Linked DNA regions of Coturnix japonica. Each later gene encodes a partner of the first gene's protein in a complex. Links are inferred from orthologs where the notes say so. Each region holds a gene or a part of one and is shown in the gene's direction. Other genes may lie near its edges. The genes, in order: TMEM237 and B9D1.

Evidence for each region.
Region 2: TMEM237 (region 1) and B9D1 share a complex: the UniProt entries of both Homo sapiens proteins name them as parts of the tectonic-like complex. The link is inferred for Coturnix japonica from reciprocal best matches to the Homo sapiens genes TMEM237 and B9D1.

What each region holds. Positions count from the first base shown.
Region 1 is NC_029522.1:9,988,050-9,991,937, reverse strand, and holds the end of TMEM237 (transmembrane protein 237), read left to right. Parts: intron 1-190; coding exon 191-312; intron 313-1,234; coding exon 1,235-1,302; 3' UTR 1,303-3,310; downstream 3,311-3,888. UniProt on the Homo sapiens protein: Component of the transition zone in primary cilia. Required for ciliogenesis.
Region 2 is NC_029529.1:5,249,377-5,253,658, reverse strand, and holds the start of B9D1 (B9 domain-containing protein 1), read left to right. Parts: upstream 1-1,184; 5' UTR 1,185-3,125; coding exon 3,126-3,212; intron 3,213-3,305; coding exon 3,306-3,374; intron 3,375-4,103; coding exon 4,104-4,215; intron 4,216-4,282. Other genes in the region: CACNA1H (voltage-dependent T-type calcium channel subunit alpha-1H), read left to right, coding at 1-821. UniProt on the Homo sapiens protein: Component of the tectonic-like complex, a complex localized at the transition zone of primary cilia and acting as a barrier that prevents diffusion of transmembrane proteins between the cilia and plasma membranes.

The sequences.
Region 1 (3,888 bases):
AGTTGCTATCTTTGGTATACACTCTCTTTATCGGATCTTTGTAAAGCAAGACCATTATGATAATAGTGATATTTCTGCATCTGACTTAGCAAGATTTTTGTTTTTTTTATGATATTCTGCTGAAGCTATTACTGTAAATATGTGCATACTGGTGTGTACCCTGACTAATTGGTTGATGTGCTTTTCCCAGGACTGCAGGTATGGAGGAAGAAATTATTCAGCCATGGATTGTGGTGAATCTGGTAGTATCTATTCTGGTTGGGGCAAGTTGGATCTTCTTGTCTTACCGACCAGAGCTGGACCACAGTGAAGGTAGGAAATGTTAACTGGCAAAACCTTATTTGTTCAGACTTGTATCTACTGCGGTCTGCATTGGGTGCTCAAGTGTAGTCCTGAGAAATGTTATGAGGAACAGATTTGTGTCTGGGAGGACAAAGGTTAAATGTGCTTCTTCAGATTTCTCTAGAATGTTAATTCACAGCTTTCTATATTTCAGCTGCTACCAGTTTATCCTGCTTAATTCTAATAACTCATTTAGCTTAAAACACATAATTAGTTGGCAGCTTTTACAATTACTGAAAGTAAAACTTACAGTAGGTGTCTAAATTATAATTGCAAGTCATTCTTAAGTAGTAAAAGGCTTATTCAAGGAAGACAGAGGTGTGATATAGCCCAGGTTTTGATGAGATTTTAGATATTTTCAGATGTCAACTAAAATTACATAATATGCTTTAGCAATTTCAAGAGAAAATTTCTGTTTGGATTTATCCCAAGTAGTAAAGAAATTATAATGGAATGGCAAAACAAAAAGAAGTGTGTGATTTCCAACTTGAGTGGAAAAAAAAACAGTGCTGCACATACAGATTGTGTAATTTTGCCGCAAATTGTTGGCAGACAGCAAATTATCAGGTCTCTAAATGGAAATCTTCAGTCTTGGTTCTGACACATTCAAAACTGGAACAACCCATCAGTCTACTTTAAAATACAAATTCAAGTGTCCAGGCTGAAGTCTACTTCCTATAAGCAGCTGCTAATGTCAGTGCTAGTTGTGTTAACCTAGGGGAACAACTATAGTTTTACTAAAGACAGTGGTGAGTGTTCCCATTACTGAAACAAGGGCTACGAAGAAAAGCAGGAGGCTTGGGGAAATTCCAGAGATCTTTTTTGGTATAATGAAATAGTATTTAGGTGAAACTTGTTCGATAAAACCAGTGTCCTTTTCTCTTTCTTTCAGAACTGATGTTTCATACTGAAATTGAGGAATTTCCCCAGGGAGTTATCATACCCAGGGTCCAGCCATAGTGCGGAACATGCACCTCGTAGCTGTAACTGATGGCTCAACACTTTCTGTATTTTAACCATGTATTATAACTTTCATAAAGGAAAAAAAAAAAAAAAGTATTTTTATATTGTATATATTTCATGGGTCTTTTATGTATGCCAATTTTTAAATATTCAAATGTCTGAAATCTTTTATATATCTCCTTTTTGTTTTGTAAAGGAGATTATCTTTAGTACATAAAGTCAATGTTCACTTTTGTAAACATTGCTACCTACACAGCCAGAGGAAATGGGTGAGTGCTGAAGATCTGCTATTCAGTGCTTTTTTGACAGCAGTGCGATATTGTCATCATCAATCTATGTTTTGTTACTGATACTGATAGCAGTTGAGGTATATCCTTTTTCTAAGATATTCCATAGAGATGAAAACAAATCATAGGAAGAAAGCAGTTTAAGTAAGTAAATGCAGACGTCTTGCAGTCTCCTTAGCAGACATAGGCAAGAGCTAGTCTGAAATCCATTTCTCATGCAGGTATCACACAGGACTAGTTTTACGTTTTATTTAGTATGTACTGAGTTTTGCATTATTTTATTTAATATATCTGAAGGTGGTTTTAACAGGAGTGCAGTGTCAAAGATCCCTGGAGGTTAATGTGTTATAAAAGTGATGGAGAGTTTAGCCAGATGGAAGAGTGAAAGGGAGATGTTAAAGAGGTAGTAAGTTTCTGTACTGCTGCCTAAGTTGGTTTAAAACAAGAATGGGAACATGAATAACTAGGGCAGCTTCTGCCTTGTCAAGGGTTCTAGTGTGCTTATTTAACAAATTTCAGTAATTCTAGAAAGTAAGTAATTACATAATTCTAGAGAGGGGGAAAAGAAGTTATTCTGGACTTGAAAGATTTTCCATAGCTGCTGGTTCTACTTTAGGGCATCCACTTGGTTGTGGGAAGGAACTCTTTAACTTTTTAGTCGGTTGTTATGATGTGTATGTGTTCTTGTAAAACTGTGGAGCTCAATTACAGCTGGTGCTGCATTGTACATTATAACAAAGAGATTCAGGATGCTACTCTCCATCAGTGTTACATCAGAGGTCCTTGTGATTTGCTGTAGGAGATGGGAGCTCAGGCCACGACGTAGTGTTCCCACATAGGTTTCCACACAGGAATTTCCTTGCAAAGCAGGAAATGCACATCACAGTTTCTTTGAGTGTCGTGTGTTTGGTTTACAGAATTGCTGAGCTCCTGAATATGAGATTATTAATGGATTGTATTTGCCATTTCATGCTTCTGTCATCTTGGCATGTGATAAAAAGTATAACTTCTCTCATAAGGTACAGAGGTTAAACACAACCGTGCAAAGGCATTCAGTCAATATAAACATGAAGGACATCACTGCTTGATTTCATTTCTGAAATTATTCCTAGGAACTGGCCTTCTAAGTATCCCACAAATGAAGCAGTGCCAGCCAGGAACCAGATTTGCTCTCATTGTGAAAATAGTTGGCTTACATGGTTGAGCAGTGATGAAGTTTTTGGACTTAATGGAATCAGTAGTTCAAGCCATACTTGCCTTCCTAGTTTGTACCTTTTTTTTGAGCACCAGAATATATAAACCTAAATGAATGAAAGAGGTTTGAGGATTGCCATTCAAAATCACAGATAAACAATTTCATGGCTTATTACCTCTTTTACAAGGTAGTTTTCATTCCATTAAGCATCACAATGGAATTTAACTGCTTTTTGTATGTGTGTGTGTGTGTAATTTTAGAACATCTTAAAGTTTACAGAATAGATGTTTAATTGCAGAACATGTGGCATATGTAGAAGCCTTAATTGAAATGTCTTTGTGCATTTACAATGGTTTTTGATACAGTATTTTGTGTCCAAGAAAAATTTGCAGAGAAGTTAGTGCCAATTTTTAAGTATCTGAAACAGGTGAGGAAGTGGTCTGAATGAATATTAGCTTGTACTACTTTGAACTGTTTCCGATTGTTTAGTTTGTTTAAAATAAAACAGTCTAACTTGTTTTTTCCTCAGTGCTAACTTTGTTACTGTATACAAACTCTGAGCAGATGCTGTGGGAAAACATTGCTTTCTGTGTGTGTTTCCATTACTGCTGTAAGTAATGGCTGTCTTTTCTTTCCACCAGCAGGCTCCTGCCACTGTTCTGGCCTTCTGCACTCAGAAATAGCTCTGTAAAACCCCAGTAACCAGCGAGTATGCTCACTGCTCTGTGCTTTCTGAGGTCTGGATTGCTTCAGGAGCATTCCGGCTGCTTAGGCTGGACTTAAGGAAGGAGTGTTTATAATGATGGCAGTGAGGCAGTGGCACAGGTAGCACAGCTGCCGCGTCCCTGGAGACGCTCAAGGTCAGACTGCACGGGGCTGCAAGCACCTTCATCTGGCGTATGTCCCTGTTCATTGCAGGGTGTTGGACCACAAGGCGTTTCAGGGGCCCTCCCAGCGCCATGATTCAGCGATGTAGTGCAGCGCAGTTCCGTGGATGCCCTGTGGGACGCAGCCTGACAGCGGCCCGCCATCATCCCCCTTCCCGCCTAACGGCCGGTGCAACCACACGGCCGCCATCTTGGCTGTGCCTGAGGGAGGCGG
Region 2 (4,282 bases), on another chromosome or scaffold:
CCGACTTGGCTGACGAGGAGGTTCGCCACATTAACAGCTCAGCCAAAGACTGGGGGGAGCACTCGGAGGCTGGGAGCTGCTCCACATCACCATTCGTCTCGCCGGCCACATCGCCGGTGCCCCTGAAGAATTGCAGCACAAGCAGCCTGGTGGCAGGCAGCGGCAAGGAGAGGGACTTGAAGAAGTTTTACAGCATTGATACAAAGGGCTTCCTCACCAAGCCCAGCTGGGCGGATGACCAAAGGCGACACTCCATCGAGATCTGCCCCTCCGTCCGCGATGGGGACTGTGGCTTCGAGGAGCGCACCGAGGAAAAGCCGCGCTCCCCTGCCCACATCCAACCGGAGTCCGAGTACATCCATGGAGCCAGGAGGAAGAAGAAGATGAGCCCGCCCTGTATTTCTATAGATCCTCCCATGGAGGATGATGGCGGGGCGGCCTCACGCACCAAACCCTCTGAGAACAGCATGCTGCGCCGCAGGACCCCATCCTGCGAGTTCCCAGCATATCGAGAGCCCCTGGAGCCAGCGGAGGCGCAGCCAGGGGAGCCGGGCTGCAAAGCAGAGCGCCGTGCACAGCACTTGGCCATCCCCGGCTTCTCCTTCGAGCAGTCGGATGGCGGCTCCCTGAGCAGCCTCTCGGATCTGCTGGACAGTGGGCGATCCACACCGGACTGCGAACTGAGAAAGCCGGAGCCTTTAAAAACTCAACGGAGCAACAGTGAGAAAAGCAAAGAGCTGCTCAGCGTGGCCAAGAGCCCCGTCCGGATGCAGGACTTGGTGACTGTTGCGACAGAAGAAGACATCGACGAGCCCGTATAGCTGTCTGGGAGGGGGGTGCGGGGGGTCTCAAGGGCTTGACACCGACATGGGGTTGGACACCGAAGGGGCTGCGCGGCCGCGTGGCCACACTCTGGTTTTTCCCTTTCAAGCAGTCCCTTCTTCTTAAGCGCTGTGGAGGTTTGCAAAAAAACAAAAACAAAAACAAAAAACATTAAAAAAAAAAGAAAAAAGAAGAAAAATATTATTATTATTAATTATTATTATTATTATTTAAGAAGAAACCAAACAAACGGATGAAACGGTGCCGGGTTTCAGGGTGGGGGTTCAGAGGGGGCAAAGTGGATGTGGTCGGGGGGGGGGTGGCTCTCAGTCCTCTGCGCCCTCGGTCACATTGATCCGGGTGGAGGCGGATGGGGGCTGAGGGTTCTCTTTGTCGTTGGGGTGGGGGGTAAGGGGGCTCTTTTTGTTGTTGTTGTTTTGTTGTTGTTGTTTTGTTTTTAAAGATGCTCAACTTTTTACAAGGCACTTTTAGAGACGTCACACGCCGTGGGAGCGCCCTGGGGAATGGGAGCTGTACGTTGTCTGTATATCAGCAATTATATACATAGAAACGATGTACTTGTGAGATACAAAACGAGGAGAAAAGAGAAAAAAAAAATAGAAAAAAAAAGAAAAAAAAAAAAAACAAGAAAAAATACTCACAAAAAACTTCTTCTTCTTCTTCATAATGCACATATTTTTATAGAGAAACAATACTGGTTTTTTGCATTACGTGTGACTCCGCGACCGGGTGGTGTTTCTTTGGGTTTTATGTGGAACTGATTCTTACAGCCCTTCATTGTCCAAATGTTTCTGCTCTTCCTTTGCTCTCCTTTCCCCCCTATACCGCCACCATCAGCCCACAGCTCCTCCTTCCGCCGCCCCTTTCATTTTCCCTTTGTACTTTAGAGGTTGTGTCCTAACCAACAGCAAGGAACCAAATCACTACTGAATTGTAGCCAGTGCAATAATAAGTTATTCATTCTTCTCGTCTGTACAATGATCCTTTCGCTCGTTTTCTTTTTCTTCCTCCTTTTTTAACAGAAATTCAGGTTAAACGCTGCAATAATCTGAAGTACCGCGCACAAACGAGGTGTCCCACATTGCACAAACAAACAACAAACAGAGGCGAAACAATAAAAGGGAAAAATTTCAATCTGAAGAGATTCACAGAATAAATAGTGAATTATTTAAGACATGTATTTTGTTGCCTGCAGTTTGAAGTAGGTTGTTGGTGCAGTACGTCGAGGTGCAAAGAGCTGTTGGTGGCGGTCCATGTGAGCAGGCTGGGATCTGTTCTCCTCCTGGCTGTGAGGTCGCAATGGTGGCCATAACCCCTTCCATTCTTAGAGTGGTAATCAGCTCCAGTGAGGCTGGGAAAGGCCCCTCGGATCCCCAACCCAACCCCATCCCACTGTGACACCAAACCACGTCCCCCTGTTGTTCTGAACACCCCCAGGGTGGTGAACCCATCCCTGGGCAGCACTGCCAGCATCAGCGCTATCTCAGAGGAGGAATTATTCCTAATATCCAACCTGAACCCACACCCACATAGACGTTCCTCCACCACATTCCAGAGCCTTTTAAGTTCAAGTGAACACCGTTTTAATATATTTTAATATACATTTATTTAGTTTTGGGGGTTGATTTTCCATTCGTAGCCTCTATTCCCTGCTCCTTCCCCACTCCTCAGCCAGACCCTCTGCTCGGATCAGCTTCACCACAGAGCACTGACACCATGAGCATCATCAGCCCCAGCACTGCAACACCAGCAGCAAAAAGACACATTGGGGAGGGGAAAAACTATCAACCAACCAACAGAAAGAACTAAAGCAACCGTTCTCCTTTGGTTCGTTCCATGCCGCCTCATATTTATGCATCCACGTATATCTTCTGTTGTTTATGCATTCATTACTCGAAAGGAAATGTATCTTGTTTCACATGTATTAAACTGTATAAACTGGAAGCCTGGCTTGACTTTGTGAGCATCCCCAGGGACCTGCCTGCTCTGTGCAATCAGCAGCCAGGGGGGGATTATTGCAGTTATTCCTTCCCGTTGGTTTAATGAGGGATTCTGGAAAAGCACCATTAATTACCCAACATAACGAGGGGTGGGCGCCTCAGAGACCCCCGACCCGAAGCTTTTCTCCCCCCTGACAGCCCTGTCTCGATCTCCTTGCATTGCAGCATCACCTAGCGGCCATTTCCCGTGCTCTTTAGAAAGAGCCGCCCGAATTTGAGGGGGGGGGGTCTCCGAGGCCCCTCCCCGCATAGTTTGTCCCTTCCGCCGCTCCGTCCGTCCTCATGGCAACGGCCACCGGCAAGATGGCGGCCGCCAGCAGCCCCAGCGTCTTCATGGTGGCCGTCAACGGGCAGATCGAGAGCGGGCAGGTGAGGCCTTGTTCGGTCCTCGGTCCCGTAACCCATCTCCGGTCTGTGCCGTGTGGGCCGGGCCCGGCCCCGTTAACAGCCTCTCCATTGCAGTTCCCTGGGTTCGACGACCTCTACTGCAAGTTCTGCTTCGTCTACGGCCAGGACTGGGTTCCCGCAGCGGTGAGACCTCGTTTTGTGCCCCCGGCAGCACCGGGCTCACACCGAGCTCACACCGGGCTCACACCGGGCTCACACCGAGCTCACACCGGCTCCACACTCGGGCTGACACGAGCTCAAACCGAGCTCCACACTGAGCTCACCACCTAGCTCCACCTGCTCACCACCGGGTCACCACCGAAGCTCACACCGGGAGTCACACTGAGCGTGCACCACCGCAGCTCACAACTGACTGCTCACACCGAGCTCACACCTTCTCACACCGGCTCAACAGCGAAGCTCACACCGGCTCACACCGGGCTCACACCGAGCTCGACACCGGCTCACACCGAGCTCACACCGAGCTCACACCGGGCTCACACCGAGCTCACACCGGCTCACACCGAGCTCACACCGAGCTCACACCGGGCTCACACCGAGCTCACACCGAGCTCACACCGGGCTCATCACGGGCTCACACCGAGCGCACACCGCTCACACGGCTCACACGGGCCTCACACACCGAGCTCACACCGGGCTCCACACCGGGCTCACACCAGCTCACACCCGGGCTCACAACCATCTCACACGAGCTCACACCGAGCTCACACCGGGCTCAACCGACTCACACCGGCTCACACGAGCTCACATCGGGTCACACCGATCTGCACAACGCTCACACCGAGCTCACACCGGGCTCACACCGGGCTCACACCGAGCTCACACCGGGCTCACGGCGCTGTGTCCCCGCAGGGCCTGGAGGAGGGAATCTCACAGATCGCATCAAGGAGCGACGTGGCACCCACCAGCTTCGTCTGGAACTTCCCCATCGATATCACCTTCAAGAGCACCAACCCGGCCGGCTGTGGGTGCTGGGGCGTGGGGGGCGGTTTGTGTGTGAGGGGCCTGACTCATAGCCGTGTCTTTTGCAG